Linked DNA regions of Tamandua tetradactyla. The protein of the gene in region 1 interacts with the protein of each later gene in a biochemical or structural test. Links are inferred from orthologs where the notes say so. Each region holds a gene or a part of one and is shown in the gene's direction. Other genes may lie near its edges. The genes, in order: TEK, ANGPT4, ANGPT2 and ANGPT1.

What was found.
Region 2: the proteins of TEK (region 1) and ANGPT4 form a complex in vitro, tested with the Homo sapiens proteins (2 studies listed by BioGRID and IntAct). The link is inferred for Tamandua tetradactyla from reciprocal best matches to the Homo sapiens genes TEK and ANGPT4.
Region 3: the proteins of TEK (region 1) and ANGPT2 form a complex in vitro, tested with the Homo sapiens proteins (7 studies listed by BioGRID and IntAct, with this or other methods). The link is inferred for Tamandua tetradactyla from reciprocal best matches to the Homo sapiens genes TEK and ANGPT2.
Region 4: the proteins of TEK (region 1) and ANGPT1 form a complex in vitro, tested with the Homo sapiens proteins (6 studies listed by BioGRID and IntAct, with this or other methods). The link is inferred for Tamandua tetradactyla from reciprocal best matches to the Homo sapiens genes TEK and ANGPT1.

Annotation. Positions count from the first base shown.
Region 1 is NC_135328.1:69,154,628-69,162,264, reverse strand, and holds the start of TEK (angiopoietin-1 receptor), read left to right. Parts: upstream 1-4,620; 5' UTR 4,621-6,208; coding exon 6,209-6,260; intron 6,261-7,637. UniProt on the Homo sapiens protein: Tyrosine-protein kinase that acts as a cell-surface receptor for ANGPT1, ANGPT2 and ANGPT4 and regulates angiogenesis, endothelial cell survival, proliferation, migration, adhesion and cell spreading, reorganization of the actin cytoskeleton, but also maintenance of vascular quiescence.
Region 2 is NC_135327.1:22,808,252-22,815,948, reverse strand, and holds the start of ANGPT4 (angiopoietin-4), read left to right. Parts: upstream 1-4,689; 5' UTR 4,690-4,939; coding exon 4,940-5,248; intron 5,249-7,697. UniProt on the Homo sapiens protein: Binds to TEK/TIE2, modulating ANGPT1 signaling. Can induce tyrosine phosphorylation of TEK/TIE2. Promotes endothelial cell survival, migration and angiogenesis.
Region 3 is NC_135329.1:34,715,903-34,723,907, forward strand, and holds the start of ANGPT2 (angiopoietin-2), read left to right. Parts: upstream 1-4,993; 5' UTR 4,994-5,449; coding exon 5,450-5,737; intron 5,738-8,005. UniProt on the Homo sapiens protein: Binds to TEK/TIE2, competing for the ANGPT1 binding site, and modulating ANGPT1 signaling. Can induce tyrosine phosphorylation of TEK/TIE2 in the absence of ANGPT1.
Region 4 is NC_135332.1:152,108,041-152,115,345, reverse strand, and holds the start of ANGPT1 (angiopoietin-1), read left to right. Parts: upstream 1-4,286; 5' UTR 4,287-4,655; coding exon 4,656-4,952; intron 4,953-4,958; exon of another isoform or gene 4,959-5,114; coding exon of another isoform or gene 5,115-5,144; intron 5,145-6,372; exon of another isoform or gene 6,373-7,216; coding exon of another isoform or gene 7,217-7,261; intron 7,262-7,305. UniProt on the Homo sapiens protein: Binds and activates TEK/TIE2 receptor by inducing its dimerization and tyrosine phosphorylation.

The DNA of each region.
Region 1 (7,637 bases):
GCCTTCCAGTTTGTTAGCCAGCCACAAAATATCTTTGTAGCAATGGTTAGCCAGTGCTTGCCTGACCAGAAAACTGGACACCATTACCTGACAAAGCTGACACCAGAACATAACCTTCACACCACCATCTTTCAGTTTGCAAGAGAATATAAATTGGTTTGACCCAAATGCCTTTTTCCCTCCTCTAGCCTGTTCTCCCTCTGGTTACATAGTTTCATAGTGGTTATTCTTTTCCTTAAGCCTATGAGAAAATTGCATTGGATCATCTGGAAGAGAGTACAGAGCTCTTGCCTTAAGAGGCTTACAGCTTATCTGGAAAGATATCACATGCGCCAAAGAAATACCGGGAGAAGGAAGAAAGGAATGCAAATTGTTGTCAAATGGTCATAGGGCAGCCAGAAGCAAAGACTACTAAAACAGATACTATGTTTGACCACATGATGCCAGATTTTGTTACTTAACTTTTCCTGTTTTGATGCATTGTCTCCACATGGGGATTGTGTAATTGTGAGCTTCAAAAGCAGAGATCATGTCTTCTATTTCTGTGTCTCCCCCATATCAATGTATCTTAGTGGCTAAAACTTAGATGCTGAAAAAAAAGCTGCAATCACTGAGGTGGATTGAAGTCAATCAGTTTCAAAGAAGGTCAGGTATTTTCCACAGTCATCTGCTCTAGATCAGAGTGGGTGTTGCCAACTTAAATGTGGCACCCTGGCTTACAGCCAGGACTTAATTGTTGATGATCTTTCCTTTCTTTCCCAGCCACTGTTAAGTACAGCAGCCCACAAAAATGTTCATGATACTCTTTAAGAAGCCAGACGTGGTGGCTCTAAAGGGTCAGTGCCCACAGCCCTGCAAAATGCAGAATGTTAAAGATACACTGTGGACAGTTGGCACCCTGATTTGTTTGCTCACCTTGTGCAAGCTGAGGTTCGCTTGGATCCTGTTTCTTATTTACCAGTGGGTCTTCTAATGCACATCTACTGTCCTGGGTCAACTGTCTCAAAGATTTCCCCTAATATTTTTCGTGTGTATATATATATATATATATGCTGAAATTATAGAAAACAATAACAAGGAAAAATCATAACAGTTTCCCAATAACCAAGAAAATAATCACTTTTAATATTTTGGTGTACATTTGTGGTATATGTATATATGTACACTGTATATATATGTATATATTTCACGCTGTTTATCAATATACGCTGTTTATGAAATATATACATTTCAAATTGTTTCTTCTCGTTCTACAATATACCATAAGCATCTTTTCATGTCAATGTGCTGCCACCACATCATTTAACATTTATCTGGCATTCCAATGTGTACCGTGATTTATGTATACCATTTTTGATAGCTTGTATCTAGTTTGCTAAAGTTGTCAAGAGGCAAAATGCTAGAAATGGACTGGCTTTTAACAGTGGGGATTTATTAGCTTATAAACTTCCAGTTCTGAGGCCATGAAAACGTCCAAATTAAGGCATTATCAGATGATACCTGAACTCCTCTGTCAGATGGGAGGGAACATGGCACCTGCTGGTCCTTCTCACCCTCGTTTCATTGCTTTCAGCTTCTGGCTGCTCCATCTGAGACTTTCTTTCTGACCTTCTGTGTCTTTTTCTCTCTTTTGTGTGAGTGTCATTCTCTTATAAAGGACTCTAGTAACAGGATAAAGACCCACCTGGGGCATGCCTCAGCTGAAATAACCTAATCAAAAGGTCCCACTCATAACAGGTCTACACCCACAGGAATGAATTCATGTTTTAAGAACATAATCTGTTTTGGGGGTTCATAAAACCTCCAAAGCATCACAGCTTATTTCCAGGTTGTGATTATTATCAACAAATATGCCAGGGATTCCCTTACACATAAGTATTGGGACACAGCTTTGATTTTGGCTTGGGGTATATCATAAAAGTGGTAAAAAAAAACAAACGCACATAAAGCTTTTACTAATATTTATGAAATTGACCTCTTGTGTGTAAAATCTGTTTATGGTAGAATTGTTATTTTTGCTAATCAGTCTCCAAGACTTTTATTATTGCCTATAGATTTTTTTTTTTAATTTTGTAACTGCAAAAGCAGACAATAGAAAATGAAATGTCAGCCAAGTGTCTTGTTTGCTTGTTTTGCCTGTTTGGTTTTCTTTTTTGTTCTGCTATAAGTGTGTCTAAAAAAAATAAAATTAAATTGAACAAGCTTGACTTATTGAAAAAAAACCCTTTCATTTTCCTGGGAAGAGGCAATGAAGCATCCACAGATCCTGATGTTAGCTATTTCAGTTGTGGAAGTACATTGAGAACTGTCTGCATAGCTCAAGGTCACCAAACTTTTTTATTACCTGTCAAAGCTTCATTTCAAATACACCCTAAGGTCTGTGTCTACTCCGATGGTGTTTGTGATGTTTCCTTCATTTCTGTTTATCTTCTTTAATGCAATTGCAATCAGAAGGTGAACTATGAAAAATAATGTGTCGTATATTAGAAATTGCACAAATTGGGGCCAAGAGACCAGGATTCTAGTGTTGTCTGCTAGCCACAGCTGTACAAGTTACTTAACTGTTCTGTGACTTTGCTTCCTCACTGCAAATAACTCTATAAAACAGTCTAATAGTCGTGATGATTGTGGGTGGGAAGGAACCAACAGAAAGCATTCATTCATTATGTACCTTGTGCCAGATACTGTGTATATATAATATCTCCCTATTAAGTATTATTTTTCCCCATTTTAGAGATGAGGAAAGTGAAGTTCAGAGACATGAAATAAATTGCCCAGGTCACACAGAGTAAATTACAGATACAATAGATGTAGTCCAGGTCTGCCTGACTCCGAAGCTCTTTCCTTGACGTGAGCATGTGAAATGGTAGCGTTTTCATTGATTAGTTCAATGATTATTTAACCCCTACTATATGCCAGGCACTGTGTTCAGTCTGGGAAATAGTGACCAACAAGCTAGATATGGTCCTTGCATCATGGTGATTGCAGTGCACTGGGGGAGCCAGGTATTAAAAGTTAAAGACACAACTATTTGAATGCTAGTTGTGATTGTCATGAAAGGAAAGAACAGGGTGTTCTGAGAGAAATAGTAGGGGAGGCCTAATTTGAATTTGAATTGGGTGGTCAGGGAAGTCTTTTCTTTGCGGTTACACCTAGAGGATGAATAGGAATTCATCAGGCAGGGTTGAGAGAAGAGCAATCCAACCTTTCCCAGGTGATGGGGCAGCAGAGGTAAGCAGCTGATCCGGCTGGCCACCACCAAGGCTTTTCAGGGAATGGACATGCCCCGCTGATGGCTATTATCAGCTTTCTAGAGGATTGTGGTCATATCCAAGTATGTGGTATTTCCTTAATATGTTGTGCATCGGAGAAACTCCTGTCCAGACATGGAAGTGGCCTCTCCCTTCCCTTGGAAATCCTGTCATGCCATCCAGTCTGGCAACTTCCCAACCTGTTGCCAATCAGACTGGAGGATTATTGGCCCCACAGTGTGTAGTGAAGCTCACGTTATTGTTCCTTGATTGATTCTCCATGTTCTCAGATCTGTGAGGCAGAAGGTTGGAGTAAAGCATGTCTGTCCATAGGTTACTTACACTTTACATCTGGAATTTTGATCTCATGCTAAAGATCCAGATATCCCAAAGAAAAGCTGCTCAGCTGTGTAATTGTAGTCTCAGAAAGCCCAGAAGCATTTATGAAACCAAGTTGCTATTCTGAGTAACAATGGAAAAAATTAATGGAATAATCTTTCTGGATCCTGACAGAAGAAATTAAATTACATGGCCCTTCAGGAAAAGGGAGAAATGAATTAAACTGAGCAATCATTCTAGAGTTAAGGGAGAAGAATTGAACAGAGTCATCCATTCCAGGTAATGGAGGAAGGAAGAACCTGAATAATGTTTCTGGATAGATGGAATAAGAACAAGTCGTCTTTCTGGATAATGAGGGAAGGGATAAAACTGAGCAGCTTTACTGAATAACAGAAGGAGGTAGCCCCCCAAAAGGAAACAAGGTAAGAACCTTACTTCAGCCGGTAAGAACCAGCCAGCAGGAGGAGGCATGAGCATGACGACTTCCTAGTATGACCAACAAGCACAAAGGGAAAGCTTGTGCTGGCAGCAAGAACCAGTCTGGGGAGGCAGGCATCGTAGAACTTGTTTATTTCCAAGACCTTCCATTGCTGTCCTCTATGGCTTGGGGCCAAAGGCCCTCGCAAAGCTTCAGCCACTGTATTCTTAAAATAGAGTATATCAATGACTTAACCCAGGCTTTCATAGTTATAGAGACACAAAGCCAGCATCTTCTTTGAACTGCCCAGATGAAAGGCCCTAGGAAAATATATAGCTCACAGAAATCAACTTGGGGATGCTGAGTGTAGGATAATTTATTTAGTTATTTAGACATAAAATGTTAGAATCAGAAGGGAAATTAGTCACATCCAGTCTAAATACATCATTTTACAGTCAAGGGAACTGAGCTCTAGAGATGGGAAATGACTTGTCCAAGGTCTCACAGGCAGATGATGGTAGAACCAGGACTAGACCCCAGAATTCCAATTCCCAGAGAAGTTCTTTATGACGCCAATCTTAAAGCCACCTCATCGGAATAGAGAATGGCTTTCTGGCTAAAGCAGCTGTGGCCTAAATCAGAAAGAGAATGGAAAGATGAAAGGAATGAGCACATTAACACTTAATGAAAGTCTTCTGGTGTAACATTTAATGAAACACCAGGCACAGTGCCAGATGTTTTTTATATATTTTAACCTCATTTAATCCTCACAAGAACTTACGAAGGTGATATTTCTGCCATTTTCCAGCAGTTGAAACTGAGACTGTAAGAGGTTAAATAACTTGTCTTCAGTCACTCATGTGGCTGAGCCAGTATTTAAACCCAGATTTGCTTGGAAAAAGAACCTGGGCTGGTTTTACCCCAGTAAACTGTAATCATCAACTGATTCTCAAGATCATCAGGGATGCGGTAAAATCTGGGACAGAAATTAGGCAAGACTACACATCTGTCCCTTCCTGTGGTGAGTAGGAAAAGGAGGAGCAGACAATTCCTTCCTCAGGCATGAAAGCAGGGTGATGAATAGAGCATTTACGCTTTTTTTCTGAAGTCATAATTTGTGTTGTGGGGAAATTATCATTGGAATAAATTTATGATCTCTGACTTCATTTTCGGCATTGCTACTCCAGATGGCTATTTTCCTTTTGGCCCATGTACTCTCTCTGTTCATATGAATAATATCTTTTTTTTAATCCCAATTTAATCTATGTGTGGTTTTCATACAGATTATTTTTAAAATTTTGTGTATGATTTAATTTTGAAATCCTTTTCACACCTGAAATCTTTCTATGCCAAATTCTTCAAGAAATTAGATCCCCTCCAGATGAATTTTTAATAAAAATTACGGATTCAGTAAATAGTGTGGTTATCTCTGGGCCCTTAGCCAACAAGTGAACTGTCTGTGTAAAAGAAAACAGGCTGACAGTTTGGGATTCTGGTTCCATGTCCACACTGAGCGTTGACCTCACCGGTGATTACCTAAATTAGTTGCCTCTCGGGTTGTGGTCTCTCATCACGGAAAACTTCTTTTCCCAATTCAAGTCATGTGGGTTGAAACGAGAAAACAAAAGCAAAAACTGCTTCCACACCCAAAAGCCCCTTCTCTCAGGGATCCCTACAGGACCCAAGAGAGCTGTTAGTGGTTTGAGAAGGGCTGACCATCATCGCATACCATACATAGGTGGAGGGCTTGTTATTTATTCTGTCTCCCGCCTATGAGAGGATACCCCTATTGTTTCTGAAAATGCTGACCAGGACTACACTTCGACTAAAATTCCTCTACCCCTACAACAGCAGCCAAAGCAGCGGCAGAAGCAACAGCCACAGATAAGTGTTTTGATGAATTGCAAGATAGATAGGGCTTGCAGTGCCTCCAGCTACTCTGACACCAAATGCCTTTAAGATACAGCCTTTCCCATCCTAATCTACAAAGGAAACAGGAAAAAGGAACTTAAAACTCCCTGTGCTCAGACAGAAATGAGACTGTTACAGCCTGCTTCTGTACTGTTCCTTCTTGCCTCTAACTTGTAAACAAGACCTAGTGGAACATGCAAATGGAAAGTCACAAACCTCTGGGTTTTTGAAAGGATCCTTGGGACCTCATGCACAGCTGTGGAAACTGGATGGAGAGATTTGGGGAAGCATGGACTCTTTAGCCGGCTTAGTTCTCTATGGAGTCAGTTTGCTCCTTTCTGGTAAGGTTTGGCTTTTTGATTTTTAATTTTAATTTTTTTATTTCGCAAACAGTGACATCTGGGCTTTCTCACCAACTCCTAGTGCTGATTAACAAGGGATAACTGGGGCAAAGACACTGTTTCTCTTTGATTTTCCTTTTCATATATGTACGGATTGAAATGCAAAGTCCCTGGGGCATGAACTGATTTTTCTAGTGTGTCCCTTCTGGATGATTATCCCAGGTTGCCACAGACTCTGAGTACTAAGTCACCTTATTTGAAGAGACTTACTTACTATGGTTCATTATGTTCTGTTCCTCATTCTTGAGTGTTTCCTTATTTCAAAAGAAGAAATCTGGGTTTACCTGCTTCAAAGAAAATCTTCAGTAATTTTTTAAAAATGAAAATTCATGCTAAGAATTATGAGGGTCATACGTATAAGCCAATACCTGAAGACAATGTAATATACTGTTCAATGAAAACAAACATGCTTTTCTGTAATGATTTCATATCTGAGTCCTCTTTTAATTAAAACGGGAAAATTCCATGCTCTTTGCTTTTTCTTATAGTTGGAGTTGGAAAGATTAAGGCTATATAATTTTTGTTTTATTTACCAAAAATATTCGGTGTATAATAATTCGTAAAGTCTATATTAACCCAAGGAAGCAAAAGTTCAAGCCGTTGCCAAGGTCATCAGGCACAGGATAGTACTGAAACCTGTTTTAGAGGCTGGTTAGTCTGAATGTTTATAGAGTTAGTGTGTATATTGCTCGGATTCTCTAGATAATGGTATATCTCTGTAGCTCACTCATCCTGTGTGACACAGACTGAAAGTAGAATCAAAATCTGAAGTGCAAGTCACAGATACGTTATGTTTGTTTTTAAACCCTTCAGCTTAAAAACATTCTAATTATTGTAATGAAAACCAAATTAATAATGAAAATAAATTTGGGAAAATTTGCTGTATTTAATGGTGTGGGCTATGTTATATGAAGTAAAAGAATTTACTCCAAAGATAATAAGTATCATATTATTTTTACATTCTTCTACATGTTTGAAATATTTCATTTTTAAATATGCTTACAATTACAAAAAAAATCCAATAAGAGAACAGAAATGCATGTAAAGTAATTTGTTTTATAGCTTTTTGGTTTGCTCTCAGCAGTCAATTATAATGAGGATTTAGTAATATTCTAAAAATCTAAGTTTGTAATGCAAATTGCTGAAAATGAAAATTGATCGGAGATGGTTTCAGTATTTATATAGCAGCTAGTTCATATTACTGTAGAAATAATGCTAATTTCTGCAACAATATGCCCCTTTAAACTAATTATCATCATTCCTTTTTTGGTTTGCTTTTGTGTGTGTGTGTACTATATTTATCAACCACATGAGATC
Region 2 (7,697 bases), on another chromosome or scaffold:
TCTTGGACCCAAAGGATTGTCATCCGCTTCCCTCGTTCCCAGTCTCTCTTGGCTGATACATCTCCTAGGCTCATTTCTATCCTTCTCTCACATTTGCCCTTGTATCTTTAAACTCACCAAGTCTATCTCTTCCAGACTAGAAGCCTTTCACACGAAACCAATGCGGATGCGAGGATTTGCAGGTGTTCTAACCACCCCTCTGGATTCTTCCTCTCTCAACTTAAACAAGATAGCCAGAAAATCCTATGCCCCATCAGGGAGGACCTGCACCCCCGGAAAAGCAGGAAGACGTATAGAAGACAGCAGACCTTTGTCCTTCAGCACCCCTTAAGATTAAGGAGTGGAAACTCTCTGAGGGGGGATTTGAGGCAGGCTAGAACAGGCGGAGAGCGGAGAGGAAAACAAACAAACACGAAGGAACCCTTGAGCTAGGATGGTTAATCAAGGTCAGGAGGACCTGGTGTCCTGGACACTTACGGGAAACACCCTGACTCACCTGGAGCCAAATGAGCCCCACCTGAGTGAGTCATCAACCGACCCACACAAAAGCACTATCCCCACCAGGTACTGCCCCGGGGAGAAGGGAGGGGAGAAAAAGAGCCCCCCCCGAACAAACGTAGGGGGAGGGAGCGTAAGTCAAGCTAATCTATAAAGCAAATGGCCTCACATTGCCTATCACCCCTCACCTTTCATCTTTCTTTACTTGTGAGCGTGCGCACATGTCATCTCCCAGGTGTAGCTAATAAAGTTTCTGCCTGCCTGCTCTCTGTGCTGTGCCCTTGAATTCTTTCTTGCAGCATGGCCAAGAACCTGGAAACCTAAATTCCTCTTGCCCAGTCACACTTGGCTAATGCATCTCCTGGGCCCACTCACTTCTACCCTCTTGCTATTGATTGGCCCTTACGTTTTTAAACTTCTCACCGTTTATTTCTTCCAGACTGGAAGCGTTTCACATGAAGCTAATGCTGATGTGAAGATTTTTCCGCCGTTCCAAATACCCCCTTTGGACTCTGCCCCTCTCAAATTAAATGAAATGACTAGAAAGTTCTTATCCCCGTAAGGCAAAACCTAGGCTCCCTGAAAAGCGGGAAGCAGCTCCATAAGAAACACCTTCATCCCTCAGTATCCCTGATTGTTAAGGGGTGAGAACTCTTGGAGGGGGGATTTGAGGTAGGCTAGAACAATGAGAGAAGGGAGAGAGAGAAAACACTCGTGAAGGAACTTTTGAGCAAGAACAGTTAAAGGCAGGAGGGCCTGATGTCCGAGACAGAAACCCTGCCTGGGGCTACCCACTTACAGGAAACCCCGGGCACCAGCTGACCCAGCTGGAGCTCAAGGCCCCCCACCTGCGTGAGTCACCTACAGAGAAGGGTGGAGCCAATTGACCTAATCAAATGCACTAGCTACCACCAGGCATTCCCCCCGGGAGATGGGAGGGTAGAAAAAGAAGCCCCAGACAAGGAAGGGGGAGAGGGAGTCAATAAAGCTAATCTATAAAAACAAATGGCTTCACGCTGCCTATCATCTCTCACCTTTCCCACCTCGGTCCTTGTGAGAGTGCCCCATGTCCTCTCACAGGTGTATTTAATAACTTTTCTGCCTGCTTACTTTCCATGCCCTGCCCTTGAATTCTTTTCTCATGGCATGGCTGAGAACCTGGAAGCCTCAACCCAGGGACAGTGGGAGAGGATGATGGCAGGTGAGGTGAGAGAGCTTACTGGGACCTGACTCCAAGTTGGAAGCAATGGGGAGACGTGACCACACTGACCTTGGGAAAGGCCCATCCTGCCCCCAAGGACTTCCTTGGGCAGCACAAGGCCTGGCAGGTCCCCGTCAGGCACCACTTGGTGGATGTGGCAGTAGCCCCCTCCTGGGCCTTTCCATCTTAATTTGTTGATGGAAGGAGAGATAAGGAAGGAGATGCTTCCTCGTCTTGCCCGGGGAGAAGCACAAACTGAGGGGACACATACAGATGTCCGTGGGAGACTGCCAGCAGGATCCATGGAGCTGGTGTTTCCTCCAGACTTGAACCCCTGCCTGTGTGTCCGACTTCCAGGACAGACCTAACCATGTCCTCCTGTGGTCAAGGGCTTCCCCAGCCAGGCCCTCGCTGCCCTCAGGGGGTCCTTAGACAAATCCAAACCCTGAGGCTGGGTGAGGAACTCCATTCCATCTTCCGAGGTTTGACTTCAGCCTGAAGCAGCGTCTTCCCTTGTATTGGGGATGGCCTTTGCCAGACTGAATGAAATTACAAAATAATAAAAGCAGTGGTCAACTTTTTAATTGAGCTCCTACTGTCCCCAGGGAGTTATTCTAGATCCTGGGAATATAGCATGAAGAAAAACAGATGAATTCCTGCCCTCAGGGAGTTTACTTAAAATTCCAGTGGCTGGATCCTGACCAAAAGGAGGAAAAGAAGTATAACAAGCTATCTAGTGGCTGAGACAATTCAAATAGAGTCAAGAAGCTACTCTGGAGGTCACTTCTACGCAAGCTCCAGTTAGGCATTGCTACCTATCATAAGTTGCCAAACCCCAACAAAAACCATTCTAGCCAATCCTAAAGAATACCTAGGACAATATTTAAGATTCTACAAAGGTTCCATGCACTAGGATAACTTTCCCAAAACCTGCAACCTCCAGATGGGTCCCTGGACCAGATAAGTCCTGAAATGCAGAGGAGCCAGCCTTTCCAGAACATCAACTAGTTCCATCCCCCATCCCATATTGTCAACAGCCCCTTCCAGCATGAAGAATTTAGAATGGGCACAGCCCAAATACCCCCAAAGAGTGGGAGAAAATTCAAAGGTGACAGTGGAGTTATACAGAGAAGTAGGTTTAACAAATGAGTATGATTGCTAAATCATTATACTGATATTTTTTTTTAATTCCCAGTGTCTGGGAGCAGCTAGTAATAAAAACCTGAAAATATGAAATTGTAACCCATAAACAGAACACTGAAATCTGTTCTACAACTAGTTGTTGCTATGTGCTTTGAAATGTATTGCTTTTTTGTATATATGTTATTTTTCACACACACACAAAGTATTTTTCACAAAAAAAGAAAAAAAGAGTTGATTGTGATGATAAAAAAAAAAATGTTTAAATAAATTCCAGTGGCTTGGAGAGGAGAGATTCAAAATACAGGTACCCATGACAATAGCAGACACTTATTCCCTGCTCCCCCTGGGCCCGCACTGCTCTAACTCAATTTTTATACCCTATGAAGTAGATGATATAATTTTCCCCAATTCAACAATGAAGAAACAGCGGCACAGAGAAGTGAAGTGACCTGCCCAAAGTCACACAGCTGGTAAGTAGTGGAGCCAGGAATTGAATCAGTAAACAAGTAAATAAACAAGTAAACCAAAAACTCCTTATCCCCATGCTGAGGACGCACATGCGTTCCTCATGCAAGAGGAGATCAGGATGTGGAGGCCCAGAGGGGTGCTTGTTCAAGGTCAGCCACTCTGTGTGAGAGGTGAGCTCTGACCGCACTCCGTGCCCTTCTCCCAGCGGTCACAGGCAGCCCAGGGAACAATCAGCCCAGGACAGTACAATTTCTCGTCACTGTCTCACCAACTGAGCCACCCAGGGAATAACGTTCCTCCAGACCTCAAGGGAGAAAGGACAGGGAGCCGGATTGCTGGCTGAAGCACCCAGTTTTCTGCCTTGGAAGGATTCTTTCTATCCCAAGAAGCAAACTGGATTTGCTCCCTCATCCCCTGCCCGGACTCCCTTGCCCCTTGGCTCCCCGGCTCCCTCTGGCCATCCCTTTACTGGTGTGGTTACCGAATTTAGGCTTCCAGGTTCTTGGCCATGCCACGAGAAAGAATTCAAGGGCACAGCGCAGAAAGTAAGAGGCAGGAAATGTATTAGATACACCTGTGAGAAGACATGTGGGCACCCTCACACAGACAGACATGAGAAAGGTGAGAGGTGATAGCCATGTGAGGCCACTTGCTCTTATAGGTTAGCTGTGCTTACTCCCTCTCCCCCTTCCTTGTTTGGGGCTTTTTCCTTGCACCCTCCCTTCTCCCCAAGGTGGTGTCCCGTGGTAGACAGAGCAGCTGGGTGGGTCAGGTGGCTCCACCCTTCTCCGAAAATGACTCACTCAGGTGGGGGGTCATTTGGCTCCAGATGGGTCAACAGTGGGCGGGTGTTTCCCATAAGCGGGCAGCCCCAGGCAGGTTGATTGTCTGTCTGGGACACCAGTTCCTCCTGATCTTGATCAACTGTCCTAGCTCAAGGGCTCCTTCACCGGGTTTTTTCCTCTCCCCTCTTTCCCTGTTCCAGCCTGCCTCGTTCCTAGCACTCCAACATCAGCGGGGGTGAAGTGGAGGGGGAGGAGAGCGGGAAGGCATGGGGGGGGGTCATTGAAACTTGAGATCCCAGCCTTGAGGGGGGAGCACAGAGAGAGACAGAGAGACAGGAAGAGAGAGAGAGAGATTTCGGTTGCGTTTGGTTTTCCAAAGCCGGCGGCTTTGAGTGTCTGGTATTTGCGTGTGAGTGTGCGCGTGTGCGCGTGTCCGCGTGCGGTTTGCTTTTCTCCCCCCCCCACCCCCCCCCGCAGGGAGGCCGGGCTCTCACTGGACAATAAAAGGACTCGGAGGAGAAGAGGGCAGAGCAGGGCCAGTGCGGACGGGGCAGCTGGTGGGCAAGAGCACAGAGGAAGGAAGGGAAAGGGGGAAAGAATAGAGGTGAGGGGGCGTCTGGGGGGGCAGGAGGTGGTGAGAGGAAGCTGAGCAGCTGTGGTATTTGGAGCAAGTATAAATAGCCTCCTGGACAGAGCTCGGACAAACGGGTTTGCAGCTGCAGCGGCTCTGCAGGCAGGCTTGTCCACTGCAGGCTGTGGCGACGGCGGGCGCGGCGCTGGGCAGCAGGCAGGCACATTCCCTGAAGACTCTGACCCCACACCCTGCACCTCCGCTACCTCTCTGATGCCTTCCTGGAGGGCCATGCTGCTGGGCAGCCTCCTCCTCTCGGTGGCCATCGTGACTGCAGGCCAACAGAGGGCACAGGAGGCGAGCGGGCGCCGCCAGGCACACCGTGTCCAGCACGGCCAGTGCAGCTACACCTTCGTGCTGCCCGAGCCGGAGCCCTGCCTGCTGGAGCCCAAGGCCTTCAGGGGCTCCCACAGCCTGTGCAGGGACATCCCAGCCTCCACACAGTACCTGGAGGGCAGGCCTGCCCAGCGCATGCGACAGCTGGAGAAGGTGCTGAGAAACCACACGCAGTGGCTGCAGAAGGTAACGGCCGGGCCTGCGGGACTGGGGTGGGGGGGGCACTCTGTGGCCTGACAGGTGGAGGTCCCCTCCTAGTCTGTCCTTGGTCACAGATGGCCAAGCTGATGGGACGCTTGTCTCTGAATTGTGCAGATTGTTTTAATGGTGCCGAGAGAGTGGCAGGGATGCCCCACGGAGGCCACACCCCCAAAACCAGAGGCATCAGAACTGGAAACGGGCTCCCTAGCTGCCATTCATTCATTCATCCAACAGAAATTTGTTGTACTCTGACCTCATGCCAGACTCATCCTGGGTAGCTGGGGACACAACTCAAAACAGAATAGCATGTGTCCTTCTGGACACACGTTTAAGGGGGGGAAAGAGATGATAAACAATAAAAACCTGTGTCAGATGGTGACATTATAAAATGAAGGAAGGGAAGCCAGTAAGGAATATAACCAGGAGTGGCTTAGGACTCAGGTGGTCAGAGGACTTCTCAGAGGAGGTGACATTTGAAGCAAGAGAATAGATGAAATGATGAGCAGGCCACGCAGGCATCTGGAGGACTGGCGTTCTTGGCCAGGGAACCAGCAGTGCAAGGGCCGTGAGCTGGGGATGAGTCGGTGTGCCTGGGGACCGCAAGGTGGCCAGACTGGCTGGAGCGATGCCCCTGATTTGACTGTAATAGGAGACTAGGCTGTAGGGGTCAGGGTGGGTGTCAGGAGCTGGAGGAAGTGGCTGAGACCACTGCAGGCAAGAGGGATGAGGGGAAGCCTGGAGCAGGGAGGGCCTGGGCAGGGGCAGGTGTGGCCAGTCAAATCCTGGTTGCTTCTGGAGGTGGCGCAAACAGGGTCTGCTGCTGACTTAGATGAGGGGTGGGAGAGAGCGAGGAGTTGAGAACGCCCCTGCAGCTCGGACCCCAAACCAGGGTCACTGTAGCCTCTCCTGTCCTCAATCTTGCATGGGCTCGTTCTACCAGCAAACACTTTGAGCACCTCGTGTATGCCCGGCCCAGAGCGGACGTGGCAGGCCTGGCTGGGACGGGCGGAAGGCAGGGAAGGTGGCCTGTGGAGTCCAAGATGAGGCTGGCCAGCCAAGTAGGAGCTGACCAGGGGAAGAGAGTGGGCCCTGGCCGCAGGTGCAGGACATGGTCTGGGTGTAGTGGCGGGGGGGTGGGGAGGAGAGCAGATGATTTACAGGGTTTAGAATGTATAAAACAGCTGACAGCAGCTGGCAGCTAGCTGCAAGGTGAGAGCAGGAGGAGACAGGAGTAGTCCCTGAGGTTCCTTTTTAATGAGGGGTTTCCAAATACTTTAAATCACGCATCCAATCAGTAAAAATTGTTTGCTCCCCCGATACATGCATATTTATTTAATGTTCATGTGATATGCTCAGTATTAATATGATATATACAGGGTATGACGCAGACAAAAATGGAACTTTAAAAGCTGATGTATGAAATCATGTAAATTGAAGTTCTGATCATTTCCTCCTGTTTTCTAAAGGATTGTCTTGTGCTGCCTCTGGGTTTATCCATCCCCGAGGTGGAGGGTCTGTACTATACATGCCTAACCAAACTGCTTCTTACACACACTCACATACACACTCATGCACACCCAGGCTCACATACATGCTCTTGCTCACACCTATACACACTCATATTCACACATGCTCACATACTCATGTTCACACATATATTTGTGTACACACACTCGCATACACACTCATGCTCACACCCATTCACATACATGTACACACACTCACCCTCCTGTCTTCATCCCTGCCCTGGCCTCCCCCTCAGGCCCTCGCTCACCATCTTCCCAGGGACCCTTCCCACTTGCCCTCCCACCCACTGGCCCTGCAGCACTTGGCTCAGCCACCCTCCCACCCCCATGGCCCCCTCCAGGAAGCTCCTTGCCTCATGTACAGGAGCCCAGTCCAGCGCAGACACCATGTCACTCTGCAATCTGTGTGTGTTTCTTTGGACAGCTGTTTCCGAGGCCTACCAGGGCCATTTCAAGTCTTGCCCCCTCCTCAAGCCTCCATCTTCACTTCCCACCCACCCGTCTTCTCACCAGACCATGGACGTCCTACTTCCACAAGAAGTAGAGGCTGCGGGCAGAGAGGCTGCTCAGCTGCCCACCCTACATCTGCAGGTTCACCCATGTATCCACCAGTCCCCAGAGCCTTTCTTCAGTCTCAGAGAAAAGAGGTTCCCTCACAGCCAAGGCCATCCCTCCCTCCTAGGTTTAAGAACCATCTCCCACAGCTCCTCAGCCTCCTTAAACCAGCTGTCCCCTCCTGCACCTCCAAACCTTCTTCTCTGCTGGTTCTTCCTCTGTGTTTAATTACACCAAGGTCTCTCCCATGTTAAAAAAGAAGGAAGTGGAAGATGAGGAAGATGAGGGGGGAAACAAGCTCTTCTCCTGCCCCATATTCTTCCTCTGCTTCCTCATTTCCTTTTTACTCCTTT
Region 3 (8,005 bases), on another chromosome or scaffold:
GCAATAATTTCATGTTCAATGAACTTTCTAATGGTTTTCCCTGTACAATGAACATTACATTGTGTATAAACATGCTGACTGATGAATTCATCTTCTCAATTTTCAAAAGGTCAGAGCAAGGGAAAGAGGCGAGATGGACAAAATGATACCTAACATCTCTTCCAGCTCTAACATGAAAGCTACCTGAGCATCCTCAAGTGTACCCATTCATTCACAAATGGCTAATAATCAAAACAACAGAGTCCCATCTTCAGTTGTAGGGCATTTAGTATTGAAAGTTCCTTCTATACCAACACAGCACACTTTCAAAATTTATGGTCATGTTGGTCAAATAAGCCAACACCAGTCACTACCTCTGGAGACCCAGAGGCAAAGATGACATAATTTAAAGTAGACTATAGCTAAAGGGTATTGAAAAGAGCAAGCATGAGATTTACTCAGTAATGCTATGGCCCAAATCTGATGGAAAAATAATCCAGCACAAAATCTATTATAAATACAGGAGACCAATGTGCCTATAATATGTTTGAATACTTTCCATGTATTTTTAATTAGGAATGTCTTCTTCAAAGCTTATGCTTGCAATATATTATCAGGATTTTAACAGATGAGAAAGCAATACTTTCTCTCCAGGTAAGATTGGGATTCTCATCTCTCAGTCACACTTCCGGCCCCTGAATATCGAATATTACATTGCTTGATGCACAAAAGCGGAGGTCATGTGAGCCCACCTGCAAATTTTATTTGGTACTCTATTGCTTGGGGCTGCCCCACTTTGTATGCATTTAAACTTGACATCTTTTTCTGGTTTCTGGCTTCCTGAGACACCATTTAAATACAGAAAAATGTGTGAGAGAGCCTCACAATTTCCCTGGATGACCTAGGCCCTCTGAAAAATTGGGATCAGTCCGATTGCACAATCCAAATAGAAGCAGATCTCTGCCTCCACAATTTATATTCTTGGAGGGGTCAGAGAGGCCGAACTGGCATGAGATCCTTTTAGCTTTTACCCACATATTAGGGCCTTTGTTCAACAGAGCAAGCTGAAACAGAGACAAATTATTTCTAGAACTTGATTCCATTCTACAGAGAATAAATGGGAGCCTCTGAAATTTCAGCTGATGACATATAACATGGGGGAGAAAACAAACATTATTAAGAAAATAAATAGCAACATGCACAGCTGTTTGGCAGAAGTTAGAAAAAAAATTTGGTTGGGCAAGCAGACTGATTTTGGGAAGCCTGTAATAATACTTCTCATTTTATAGCTTCATCTGCCTTCAGCTATCCTGTCAGCAAGTCATTGAAGAAAACTCAAGATTCTCTTTGAAAATGAACAGTTCTAAGAACCGCAATCAAATCTATGTTGCAGAGTGCAGTCTGGACTATGTTTAACTTTTAATCCCTCAGAAAAACGAATCACAGGCCAGGGGATAGAAGTAAACACAACACTCTTCTTTTGCTACTCGTCCAATAGTAAAAAGTGCAAAACAATCAGTTACATATAGTGTACTAAACAATTACTCCAGGCATAAATATAACCAAGTAAATAGGTTTAACTGTTGGCTCTTTTAGTCACAATTGGGTAAAGGCACAATCCCAGCCTCTCTTTCTTTGTGAGGTTCTTAGACCCAGTTCTTCTTTGTCTCCTTCTAGGGTCTCCTGCTGGTTCTCATAATTTGGCTGTCAATGGGCTTGTATATCTTCTCTGATCTCCTCCATGATCAGTTATAGCAGTCAAGTTTGCAGCTCTTACTACAAAAACATCTCTGCAACTTTTAGTATTATACTGCCTGTGCTTGGCTGGTGCACATGTGTGATGTTTTGCTTTGTACTTGAGTCATTTTTTTTTTCTAGAACTTCTTCCCTGTATTACATTTTATATCCAGCTTTCAAAATTGCCGTTCACTTTGGGTAAATGTTCCTGCCCCTTTCACAAAGTCCCTTTTCCTTGGCTTGTCTTGTGTTCTTGAATCTTTAAGAACTCATACCATAATCTGAGGGATCAGAGATTTCAGTTTACTTTGGCTGTGTATTTTAGAGCAGATTTACTAACCACTTCAGAGCCCCTACTAGTAAGTTTCCCTATGGTCTAACTAGAGATTTGTTAACCAACAAACTACAGCAACAGCCATTGCCTGTTTTTCAATAGTTCTTGAGCTAAGAATGGTTTTTACATTTTTAAATGATTAAAAAAAATACTAAGAAAAATATCTCATATGTGAAAATTATATGAAATTTAAATTTCAGTAGCCATATATAAAGCTTTATTGGAACAAAGCCATGCCCATTCATTTATATATATTGTATAAGGCAGCTTTTATGCTGCAACAGCAAAGTTGAGTAGCTGTGTGATAAAGGGTATGGCCTACAAAGTTAACTATCTGATCCTTTATAGAAAAACCTTGCTACTCTCTGGTTGGTTCCAACAATTTCTATTTAGGAATCTACAATGAGCTACTCATTTCATGTTCTGACTTTGAGAGGATTAGATGAAAGACAATGTCCAAACCAAACATAGTAGGAACAGTGTCCACCATGAAAGCAACATTATTTTTCTTCTGTGTGCACCACACAATTCTTTCATCATATCTATTTATGGGTCTCTCTCTCTCACTATACTATTAGCTTCTTTTATTTTTTTAGTATGCTGTATGGCAGGAGTCCTATTTCATTCTTTTTCCATGTGAGAATCCTGTTACTGCAGCACCATTTGTTGAATTTGTGTTTGTTTTTTGGGGAAGTGCATGGGTCAGGAATAGAACCCAGGGCTCCCTGGCAGGCGAGAATTCTACCACTAAACTATTCTTGCATCCCCACTATTAGCTTCTTTAGATCAGAAACCCAGTTACATTAATCTTTTCGTCCCCAGTGTCTAGCAGAGCATCTGATACACAACTGGTAGGCTATACATACTTTTGGAATATTCTCCTCTGCTTTCGTCTTTTTAAACTATCCTATTTTCCTGGAAGATACATGAATGCTTTTTTAAACCACATATTAATACTTTATAATATACTTTTTTCAAATAGGGAATAAATTTATCAGAAGAAAAAACTTGTACTCTATGCCATTACTTCACATTCAGTCAGAGAATAGCAAATTTATAATAGTTGATGGTATAAAAACTAATTTCCATTTATTGGAAAGTGCCTAAAGGAAAAAGGAACTAACCTTCCTAAATAACATTTACTATTACATATCACTTTAATTCTGAAAATGGTACGGAGACAGAATTATTTCCATTTTACAAGTAAGGGAACTAAGGTTTAGAGAACTTAAGCATTTGTCCAAAGTCACACAGAACCAGAGTTCTAATACAGGCTTTATCTTCAAAACCTTGATGCTTTGCTCTACAATTCATTGTCTGAAAGGGTACATTTTTCTTTATTTTTTTCCTTTAGTGGAAACCATGTATCAAAATCTTTGTGGAATCAAATTTCATATTCTATTAATATGATTCTTCCAGAATAGGAGTCTTAAATTTTTTGTGCTTTTCTTCAAGCCCTTTGGTAGTCTGGTGAAGCTTATGAACTCTTTTCCAAAATAAAGATATATGCTATTATCTTCAGATATTAAATAAGATCTAGGGATGGATCTAGTGCTGAGTGTGATAGTTTGAAATATCTGATAAAGTCATAATTCTATGACTTTAATTGATGAGAAAGTCATAGATATTAATCCTACTTCGTTGGTTGTTTATTCATGATTAAAGGAAAGGCTAAATTTCAGTTAAATTTTAATAAAAAATAAGTACTTATTTCCCTATCCAAGTTCATGGACCCCATGCATTCTCTCCATAGACCTCACGCTAAGGATCCCTGCTCTAAAGGAAGCTTGGGACTCATTATATTCATAGAATGGAGTTTTGAAAGATCTATTTAGGTCTCTTGTCAACAAATTCAAGAATACAAAATTCACTGTACAAATTCCATAGTCACCTAAGAATTAAAAGCATAATTCTTTGCTTCTCTGAAAGTTTATTTTAAATGATTATTGACTGATATTTGACCTTCATGGTTAGATGAGGTCCATCAAGTCAATGTACCAGATATTCTACCACTAACTGGGAATAATATATCTATAACATAAACAGATCATAGCAAAGGATAGATATTTTTTCCTAGGTTCATATTAGCTGGCAAATTCACATATTATTAATCTCTGAGGTATTAAGTTTTAGTTTATTAAAAGAGGTGACCTGCAGGATTTACAGAGTCATAGAATTGAAATAGAAAACCGTTAAAGTTAGTGTAACTCCTGCGTTTTACAGGTAAGGACAATTAGAGCCTAATTAAAAAGGGGAAGTGATTTGCCTAAGTCAAACACCTAGAGGTTCTAATTTAATTGATCCTGAATAATCATGTTACAAATGATAGGTTTTGAGCAAATCCTGATATAAAAAAAAGAAAAGATGTGTTCCTCTTTCAACATACTCTATTTGTATTTTGACTTCCCCACCTCTTATAAATCAGTCCATTATTCTTTAAGTTTATTTTGAATATTGAAATGGATATTTTGTTGAAAGAATAAATGTCAGAGCTCAAAAACTGATCTTCCTAGCATGATTTAATAAAGCAAGATCTTCCTAACAAACTTTTAAAATGAAAGTTTTGTATACTCAGATAACAGTTCAAAGGACAAATAACATCCATGAAACTATTTTCCTATGAAAAGGCACAGAGTTTACAAGAGCAAAACGTCTTCCTCTTTATTTGTAATAACAAAAATAAACCAAAGTCCTGACATATTTGTAGTATTTTTCTTCCGAAAGGAAAAAACAAGAACTTTCATTGTACTTTAAAATTAAAGTTGTTACCTTAGATATTTTACCAGCTTCACACTGTGAAATCAGTTCCACACAAAAGAGACCGACTGCTCTCTCTAGGAAATACTCAATTAGGGTGGTGCCTATGAAATACCCAGGGGTCCTGTAACTGATCGTTTTTTCCCAGAGGGTTTCTGCAGTATATAGTCCTAGTTAGACAACAAGCATTATGCTCCGATTTTTCCTGTTGCCTGGCTAGTGACCCCCCTACAGGAAGATAACGGATAAGCCAAGAGGGCGGAGCAGCTAGCTACACATGTCTGGCTGCTCTTATCAACTTATCATATAAGGAAAGGAAAGTGATTGATTCAGATACAGACACTGTAGAATCTGGGAAAAGAGAAACAAAGAAACATTAAATCTGATCTGTAAAGCTAATACAGCACTCACAACTGAGCAGGATTATTCTCCCTTCTGGAATCTGACAGTTTACTGGATGACTGGAGAGAAGACAGCATTAAAAATCAAGTTTGCTACTAGAAAAGGAGAAAAAAGAAGACTTTCATTGATTGACCTTAAACCATGGCAGCATAGCCGTGCATCTTAGAGAACAGCTTAGTATTTTGGACTCTTATGTGCCTTGACATTTGCTAAGCTGGTGGTTTATTACCAAAAGAAAGAATGTGGCAGATTGTTTTCTTTACTTTGAGCTGTGATCTTGTCCTAGCGGCAGCCTACAACAACTTTCGAAAAAGCATGGAGAGCATAGGGAAAAAGCAGTATCAGGTTCAGCATGGATCATGCAGCTACACTTTTCTCCTACCAGAGATGGACAATTGTCGCTCTTCTTCTAGCTCCTACGTATCTAACTCTGTACAGAGGGATGCACCACTAGATTACGATGATTCGGTGCAGAGGCTGCAAGTACTGGAAAACATCATGGAAAACAACACTCAATGGCTAATGAAGGTAGGAAAATAATCAGTTTTACTTTATGAAAAATTAAAGCTATTACAATCAGCTTTGTTTTAATAACAACAACAAAAAGGATTAGAGCAAGACAGAGATGCTTTATGGGTAGCTTTGAATGAATTATCCTTTTTAAACTTCTATCCCAGTGTGTAAAATGGTCATAGGTGAAAGGGATTATTTGAAAAAGAATGTCAGAATAGAGAAAATTTCTGAAGTTGAAATCTGTATTAATAAAGTGAAGGAGAGGAAGTGCACATCTCTGCAAAACTGCTATGCTCTTTTGTTTGTTTTAGTTTAAACTCAGTAACACAGAGACATTATAAACTGGTTGCAGGCATGTGAGGGAAGCTGTAAGCAATACAGCAGTGCCAGAGCCAGGAAAAACGTGACAATCATGTTAATTACTGATAAATAACGGATGGAGCAAAGTGCTTTACCAATTTCCTGAATTTATTTACTAAAATAGATTATGACTTGGTAAATGAGAGGAAATTAAATAAAACAGACCTCATGTTTCTCAGAATCTCAGTGATTTACCCGCAAGGACTTGTCATTTGTAAACGGTGGTAAGTTTTCCAAGTGTCCTGTAGGGATTCGGTACTGCAGCCACATTTCAATTCCAGCAACTGGCTTTGAAAAATATATTCATGTGGGACTAGTGCTCAGGGGCAGTTACGTTGAATTTATGCCATGACAAGATGGTTTCATGGTTTGTACTTGGGGCTATGATTGTACCACTGTTTCATAGATCTTTTCTTTTTTTTTTTTTTGCATGGGCAGGCACCGGGAATAGAACCCGGGTCTCCGGCATGGCAGGCAAGAACTCTGCTGTTTCATGAATTTTTATAGAGAGTTTAACCAAAATAGGATATTGAAAGCTGTGTTTTTCTTTCATAAAAGATCATTTTCCCACATAAACCTGGGAACTATATACACACATACATACATATATATATATAATTACCCTGGAATTTTTCTTTATATGGACTATATGTATTCCAAAGGAAGTTTAAAGAAAATGCATGTATAGTAAATTAAGTATTATAATGATGACATTACATTAGAAAATTGCTACATGGTAGAGAATATGACTATTTAAAGCCATAAAAAACGTTTAAAAAGTTTGTTGGCATCATTCAACACTTTGCCCCAGAAAAGTATAATTATTTTCTCAATCTTTTATTTCACCATAAGCTGTCTGTTAGGACACCCTATCTTAATCTCAGCAGAGATCTTAGATCCTAATCTAAGTTTCACATTAACTCCCCTGCCATCAGAGAGGAAACAACTAAGTCATCATTTGAGCCATAAGCCTAAATGAATGAATGTTCTCACCACTAATGGTCATTGCAACAAGAACAGTTGCTTAAAATCGAAGAACAGAAAACAATAAAACTTAAACAATTTATCAAAAAGACCCGTCAAATATAGATAATATAAAAGTCATTAGTAATATCTTTATAATCACTATCCCTTCTGGGCAAATTTTCAGTAGGTTTTTCTTTTTTCTTAAGAAAGTCACTAAAATCATCTAAAAGCCACAGATGCTTAAATAATAATGCTAAACTTTAAAAAGTATACAGCAGTACAGGTTCAAATATCTGAATGACAAACTGTATTCTAAATATATGTGAAATTCTAACTTTCTACTTCTTTTTAAGTCATTATGCTCACATTTAATAATCTCCCTGCATTTACTATGGCGTGCTTAATGGTCAGTGCTAACAGCCTCAGTAAGGAATGAAAGAAATATAGTAGTAAACATTCTAAGCTGCCCAGTTGGTAAGTCATTTCCTAAAATAAACAGTCAAGGAGCATAAAAGAATGCTTTGCCAAATTCAAGACTGTGAAATTGTATTTGCTTAATTAAGTACACATCAGGAATACCTGAGACTCCATAAGCAAAGTTCATATTTCTTTCTTAAACTATCCCCTTCTCTTGGGTATTTGAGAAACTATTTAAAGGAGGAAAAGGACAGGTGACAAGATTTCTTCCTTCCCAGGTTCAATTAGTAAATATTTGATCCGTAGAACAATGGCATTTCAAAATTCCTTCTTTAGCTATGTAGCTAAATATCATCATAAATGACTTAATATTTATCTTTTGATCTGCTTAGACCTGTTCTCTCTGGTCTAGCTCAGTGGTGTAAGATGTGCACCTGAGAAAGTCAATTTGAACTCTAACTAACTTGTCTTCTGGCTTCTGGTTTAGGAATGAGAGTCAAAAAATAAAACAAAACAAAAGCCAACCAATCAACCACAACG
Region 4 (7,305 bases), on another chromosome or scaffold:
AATCTAATCAGTGTTACCACCCACAGTTGGGTGGGTCACATCTCCATGGAAACAATAACAAAGATTCCACCCAGTAATACTGAATGAGGATTATAGGACATGGACTTTTCTAGGGTACACGACAGTTTCAAACAGGCACACTAGCTGTTAATACAAATGCCATTCAGAAGGTTGGCTTAACACCAGATATTTATTGGCTTATGGTTCTAGAGGCTAGAAGGCTTCCTTCTTCCCATGGTTGATATCTTCTGGCTATCTGGCAGTCATTGGAGTTTCTTGGCTTTTCCATCTTATCCATGTATATGGCAGTGTCTTCTCCTTATTCTCTCAGATTCCATTGTCTTCCAGCTATAGACTGTTTCCTGTGCCCTCTTCTCTGTGGCCTTCCCTATAAAGCCTCCAGAAATGGGACTAGGACCCATCCTTATTCAGATGACCACGCATTTACTAACAATAACCTCAGAGAAGGGTCCTATTTACAAGTTCATTCCCACAGAAATTGATTTATGATTAAGAACATTTTTTTTCTGGGATATATGACTTAATCCCCAGTAGGAAATATGAAGAAGTGGTTATTGAAATACATGGGAGAAAGCTATTTTCTGGGCCCAGAGAGATTAGAAAAGCTTCACAAAAGAAGTAACTAAAGACTTGTTCTTAGGACAAATTTGGGGTCATCAAGTTCCCATATAAATGGTGTTCTCTGTCAGACAGGAGTTTTGAGATGACGCTTGCCTTTACTAGGACTCATTTTTAGATATGTGTTTCAGTTTGCTAAAGCTGCTAGAATGCAATATACCAGAAATGGATGGGCTTTTACAAAGGGGATTTTTTTTTAGTTTACAAATTTACAGTTCCACAGCCATAAAATTGCCCAAATTGAGGCATCCAGAGAAAGATACCCTGACTCTGAAGAAAGGCTGATGACATCTGGGGTTCCTGCATCATGCGGGAAGGCACGTGGCTGGCATCTGCTGGTCCTTCACTCCCTGATTGCATTGCTTTCAGCCTCCGATTCCAGTGGCTTTCTCTCTGAGCTTCTGTCGGTCCTTGCTCTCCTACCCTGGGACATCTCTCTGATGCTCTTTGTGTCCTGTGGGTCCACTCTTGGCACCTCTGGGATGTTTCTCTTTCTGGGCTCTGTGTGGTTCTCTCCAAAATATTTTTCGCTGGGCATTTCTGTTCTCTCTGAACGTTTCTGGGCTCTCTCCTCTTTCACTATCTTTTTATTCTCTCACAAGAAGAATTTAAGACTCACCTTGAATTGGGTGGGTTCCATCTCCATGGAAACAATCTAATCAAAAGGCCCTGCCCACAATAGATCTGCACCCTCAAGAATGGAATAGAAGAGCATGGCTTTTCTGGACTGCATAATAGTTTCAAACCAGCACAATGTGCGACCAGAGCCTTAAAGAGTTCACCTTCTTATTCCAGAACTCTAATCATGAAAACCAATTGGAAGCTTTCAGGTCAAGCTACTGAAGAATGCAAGTGAATGGAATTAGTTCTTTAGAAGTTTTCCGCTTTGCTGTTTAGAGGTCTGGTAGAGGAATTTAAAAATGTACGTAACCTTGGGCATATTTAATATTTTACTCCCTCAATATCACAGTCCCCTGAATTGTGAATCATTTCTGAATAATCATAAAACCAGCAGTGTTGCTGTTGGTTTGATTCATGTCCCTGAGTCTAATGTTCTTTGCGTGTCAAATACCTTAACATCTCAATACCTTACATCTCCTTAGCTGGAGTTCCAAGATATGAGCTGATTCTGCATATCCACAACCCTGTTTTTACCACTTGCTTACAATGGACCCTCAGATATTCTTTCTGTATTGGCAATTGTACTTTTAGTGTCTTGGTTTCGTATGTTTGTGTTCGTTTTTTCTCTAAAATAAAGAAATAAATCCCTATATCTCTTTCTTTATTCTGTCTCTCTGTGCCCCTCTTACCCTCTCCCCCCCCCCCCGCCTTTTTTTTTAACTTGCATTTCAGGGTTTCCTTTCTTTAGTGTTGACTTTTCCTTCAAGAAAATATACATCCCTCATTCTCGTTTGTTCAGATTGGAAGCGTTCACATGAACAAGCACATACAGACACACATAGACATACACACACACGTGGAGGGAAGACATTTTTCAAAAACCTTGACTGTTTTAAAAACATAGGACCTTATCAGAGACCTCACTGCTCATCCATTTGTCTTCTGCCAATTTTCTGCTGTATTTAGTTCTCAGCAAAGCATTTATAGGTTTTGGTTTGGAGTTCTCCTTTTTCCATGGAGAATTTTCAAAACAAGTAATGTTAGAAATTGTTCTTAGACAATCTATGCTTTGCCAGTCCATTTCTTCCCTCTGGATCCTTAAAAATCTCACTTTCGTGGATTATCTGTCACTTATTTTATTTTATTTTGGGGGGAATACAGAGAAAATTTAAAACCATTTTGGAGGGATAAACGGGTTTTTAATCAGTTCTTTTTTCTTCTAGGTACCATTGCTTACCTGCCTTAGGACTGTAAATTAATATAGCTGGAACATTTTGGAGTTGCTTTCATTCCTCACAGAGGTTTTCAAAAGCAGGCTGGCATAGTGGTAGAAGCAAAGGCTCTGAATCAGTTTGCCCGAGTTCACATACTGGAGCCATCACTTGCTAGTTATGTAGCTTTTCTGTGACTCAGTTTCCCCATCCACAAAATGGAGTTAAACACTCTATCTATGTCTTTGGGTTGCTGGGACGATTAAATGAGATAGTATATAACGAGTAAATGAGTACTTAACACAGGGCATGAAAAATAGCAAACACTTAAAAAACATCATTATTATTTTCCACGTGTGTGGAGACATGCAACAGTACAGGAGGAAGCTACAGAGGTGAGCCAAAGATTTTATTGCTATGGTTAAGCAGAGCTTGCTTCTATATCTGTCAGATTTGATGAATCTCAGCACTATTTTTTTTTTCCAAGTAAATCATCTTCTTTCTGGAATCTGGAATTTGGTTTGCCATTTCCTTTTACTTCTCCCCAAACGTCCATCTCTAACCTCTACTGCCCATCATCTACAGCCCTGCCTCCATTCCAGGACATGACAGTCTATATCTGTGACTTCTGTTTTTACCGCATGACTACAGTTGAGAGGTTTATTGCTGAAAATTCCTCCCAGTCCCTGATGGAAGCTTGTGCTAATAATCCATGTTTTCTGCACACATCTAGTGAAAATCTCAAAGCCATGCCCTGGATTCTATAATTATGACCTATCATTTATATTTACTGACTCCCTTTTTCTAGTGTTTACAGCCTGCTTTTAGTTAACAGAAGTTAATTTAATTAACCTGTTAATTTTAATTTCTTTGCTAATAGAAACACATAAGAGTTCTCCTGTACAGCCCATGGGCACATCTGATACGTTTTTGGTCTGGGGTGATTGGTCCAAGCAGTCATATTGAGGATTTATCTGGAACTTCCATATGGAGTTAAAGATAGCCAGGCAACACCCGGGGTCCTTGTGAAATATGTGATGAGGATATACCGCAGGAATTAATCATTCTCAAGCAACTGTCTGAAATTGTAACCACGTTGTTTTTATAAGGAAGTTGCTTAATTTATATACAGAGCACTCAAGGCTGTATTCTGATGAGAGGACAAGTTTCATTTAAAATCCATATCCCAGAAAGTACTTAGTGCATTCTGTTTAGTATGCACATGCCATATTCCTGTGAGTCCCAAATTACTATATTGTCTTGCTAATTTCACCTTTCCTGATTATTTTGTTCAGTTCTTAAAAGCCCAAAGGAATAGGATAAAAGAACACCATTTCTAAAAATGGGTTTAATAGCTTTTCCTCTAGAGTCAAGAATAAATGTTTTTAAATTAAAAAAAAAAACTTATAAAGATTTATCAGTCACTGCCAAAATTGATTTCATTGGATATTATACCAATTTTTTCATTAGGATTCCCCTAACTAAATAGAAACTTAAAAAAAAAAAACTACTACTAGATTTTAGTAGGTCAGCACCCACACCGAAAGTGTATTAAGGTGGACTGCTCTATTTATTGATTTTCCTTGAATCTGCTAAAGGCTCAAGGCAATTGTCTGCAGAAGGGGCGGGAGGGCCATACATGATCTAGGTCATGCGCATCTAGCCAATTTGTAAAACGATCCGCTGCCCCAAGCCATCGGCAATCCTTAGCATAGGGGCACACTCATGCATTCCTGTCAAGTCATCTTGTGAAAGGCTGCCTGCTTCCAGCTTGGCTTGGATGTGCAACCTTAATAAAACTCACTGAGGTCTGGGAGAAAATAGCAGATCTGCAGCAGATAGGGTAGAGGAAAGGGTCTAGAATATGTACATGCCGCTGGCTCAGGCAGGCTGCACGCTTAACTGTTACACAGAGAGGAAACAATAAATCTGAGCTACTATGCAATAAATATCTCAAGTTTTAACTAAGGAAATATCATTACAGTGAAACAAAATAATAATAATAATAACATTTTAGAACCCAGCTAACAAATGGCTAGTTTTCTATGATTCTTAAAAAATTTTCTTTGAGGGGGAAATAGAAATCAAACAAACCAGCAGTTTTGCCTAAAATAAAGTAGTTTAAAGGTCAGAAGAAAGGAGCGAGTTTTGCGAGCAGCACAGAAGGAGAGCGCTAGCAGTACAATGACAGTTTTCCTTTCCTTTGCTTTCCTCGCTGCCGTTCTGACTCACATAGGGTGCAGCAACCAGCGCCGAGGTCCAGAAAACGGTGGGAGAAGATATAACCGGATTCAACATGGGCAGTGTGCCTACACATTCATTCTTCCAGAACACGACGGAAACTGTCGTGAGAGTACGACAGACCAGTACAACACAAACGCTCTGCAGAGAGATGCTCCACACGTGGAACCGGATTTCTCTTCCCAGAAACTCCAACATCTGGAGCATGTGATGGAAAATTATACTCAGTGGCTGCAAAAAGTAAGTGATTGCTTTCAGTTTGTAATTGCACCGCTCCTTCTCCGTTCTTGCATTGCAGCTAACTTAACGCTCCTTAGGGGGGCATTTGTGTATTTACCTTTGGCTCCAGCCGGGCAGTGTTTGCAAGTACAAGAGGGCTCTCTCTCCGTCTGACTTCACCTTATGCCAAGGTTTTTAGGCATACGCAAGCCGGTGAGATATGCTGGAACTCCCACTGTGTGCCTAGTAATGGCACATTTTGTGACATCTCTGTTTTTCTCTTATTTACTGTTTAACTTGAGTAGTCTTACTTTAAAAAAGAACCGAGTACCTCTTGAGCAAGTTTGAAAAAGCAAAACCAAAATAAGAATGACAACAGTATATTAGGATCAAATGAATTTTACACCAGGATGTTTTATACAGCTAGAATGGGAACTCATAGTAAAATGCTTATTGTTTTATTTTAGTAATATTAGTTGTAAATTTGTAGTAAAATTCACTTGAAATGAAAATAAATATGAAGTGTAATATTAGGTGGAGAAATTGTGTAAGTGTGGAAAGGGGACTATTGATTTCAATAAGTTGTAGAATAGTAAATGGCTATAACATATTACTTCTGTGCTTGAGAAAAAAATCAAGAAAATAAATTTTAATGTGAATTCAACAGGAAGGGGCTGTTTGCCCAAAATGAAGGGAGAGATTGAGTCAGTGGTGGCTGTTCATTGAAGACAGGCACCTGCAGATTATTGGGTTGTTGTAGGCACTGCTGTTTTCTTCAAGTACCTCCCTTCTCCAGACACAGTGCCATTTGGGACTCTAAATGTCCACATGAAGTTCATGTGAAGTATGCATTTAATCCCAATTGATAGAAATCAAATAGAATAGCTTATTCTGCTACCTTTCAATCATTTAAGTTTTCGCTGAACATCTGCCTATTAAAATATGAACATACTTTGTGCAGTTCAGTCTCTTTGATCTCTGTATCATTGTGTAACAGGTAAACAACAGATAAGTGACTATGTCATGGGAAGGATACAGTGTGTCCTGTTTTGAAAAGCTTCCCCCACAGGATTTTTGCAGATAGAGTCACTTGGTGCATAGAGGTAGGAATGCAGTGAGACTTCTTTTAGTCCCTTAACAGGGCAAACCCTTTGAGAAGATAAAAGAGAGGAAAAGGACAAATGCTCTTTTTTGTTCCCTTGGGTCACACTCACTTAGGTCAGCGCCTGCTGAATCCTGCCGTGTAGCAGTTATTCTACTTTTGTCCACTAGGGACTGAACTAAGATCACTGTTATTTTATTTGACATGCGAACTGAAACTTGGTAGTTCTAGGGTTTCCAAGCCTGGAACTGTAGTTAGTCTTTCTAGTACAGACCATAGGTGAAAATCAAAAGTTAGGTGCAACGGAAAGCTAACTGAATTCTGCAGTCTTTTAATAACTGTAACTTAAATTTCAGTTACTACTTACAATAGTAGTCTAAAATAGGATATCTGCTTTTTCCTTTGACAAAATTTATTTCCATCAAAAAGCAAATGAATTTGGTTGAGTAGCTTTCTGCTGGTCTTAATATACCATGCTTTTTAATGGGCATTTAAAAATTATGAATTAGTCTGGATTATTTTGGAGGCCTGGCAGTAAATTTTAGTGTCCCAACTTGTCTTGAATGAGCCCTTCTACCAAAAATGTAATATTTTGTTTGCCCAAAACATACAGTCAAAATGGTGATTTAAATATAGTAATGCATATTTGTTGTTGCTAAGCAATTATTCAGTTGTGACGGGGTAAATACATGATTCTACTGGGTTTGAATCATGCAATGTTTCTGATGTTAATTTGTAGGAAATAAATTTGATTCTTGTTTGTGTTGTTCTCGGTCACTGATTATGACATAGTTTCCAGATAATAGCCAAGCATAACTATTAAAATGTTCTTTAGTTACACTGACCCTTGCTAATGTAAATCAAGCTGAGGATATGCTGAAATGTCCTTGCTGGTATGAGTCACAGCAGTTTGGCTTGACTATTGTCTGCTTATATTTGCATATCTTTTGTCATTGTTAACATTGATTGGTAGAAGGATCAAGAAAGTAAGTGCATTCAGTAAAGAACTTGCTCAGAGCTCTCCTAAGGTTCCTTTAATTAGAGGTTTTCTTCACTTCAGTTTCACAGTTTAATGGGGTATATTTATTTTGATAGTTCAAATGGAACTTTTTTACTGTAACCATTCGGTAAGCTTAATGCTGCAATCTGTACTACTTCTCTTTTGATTCCAAGTAGTTGGCGTATGGTAGGAAATGAAGTGCTGCAGAAAATGAGGCTCTCGGTGCATGTAAGTGCAATTAATTCATTTATTTGTTCAACGAAATAATCAAA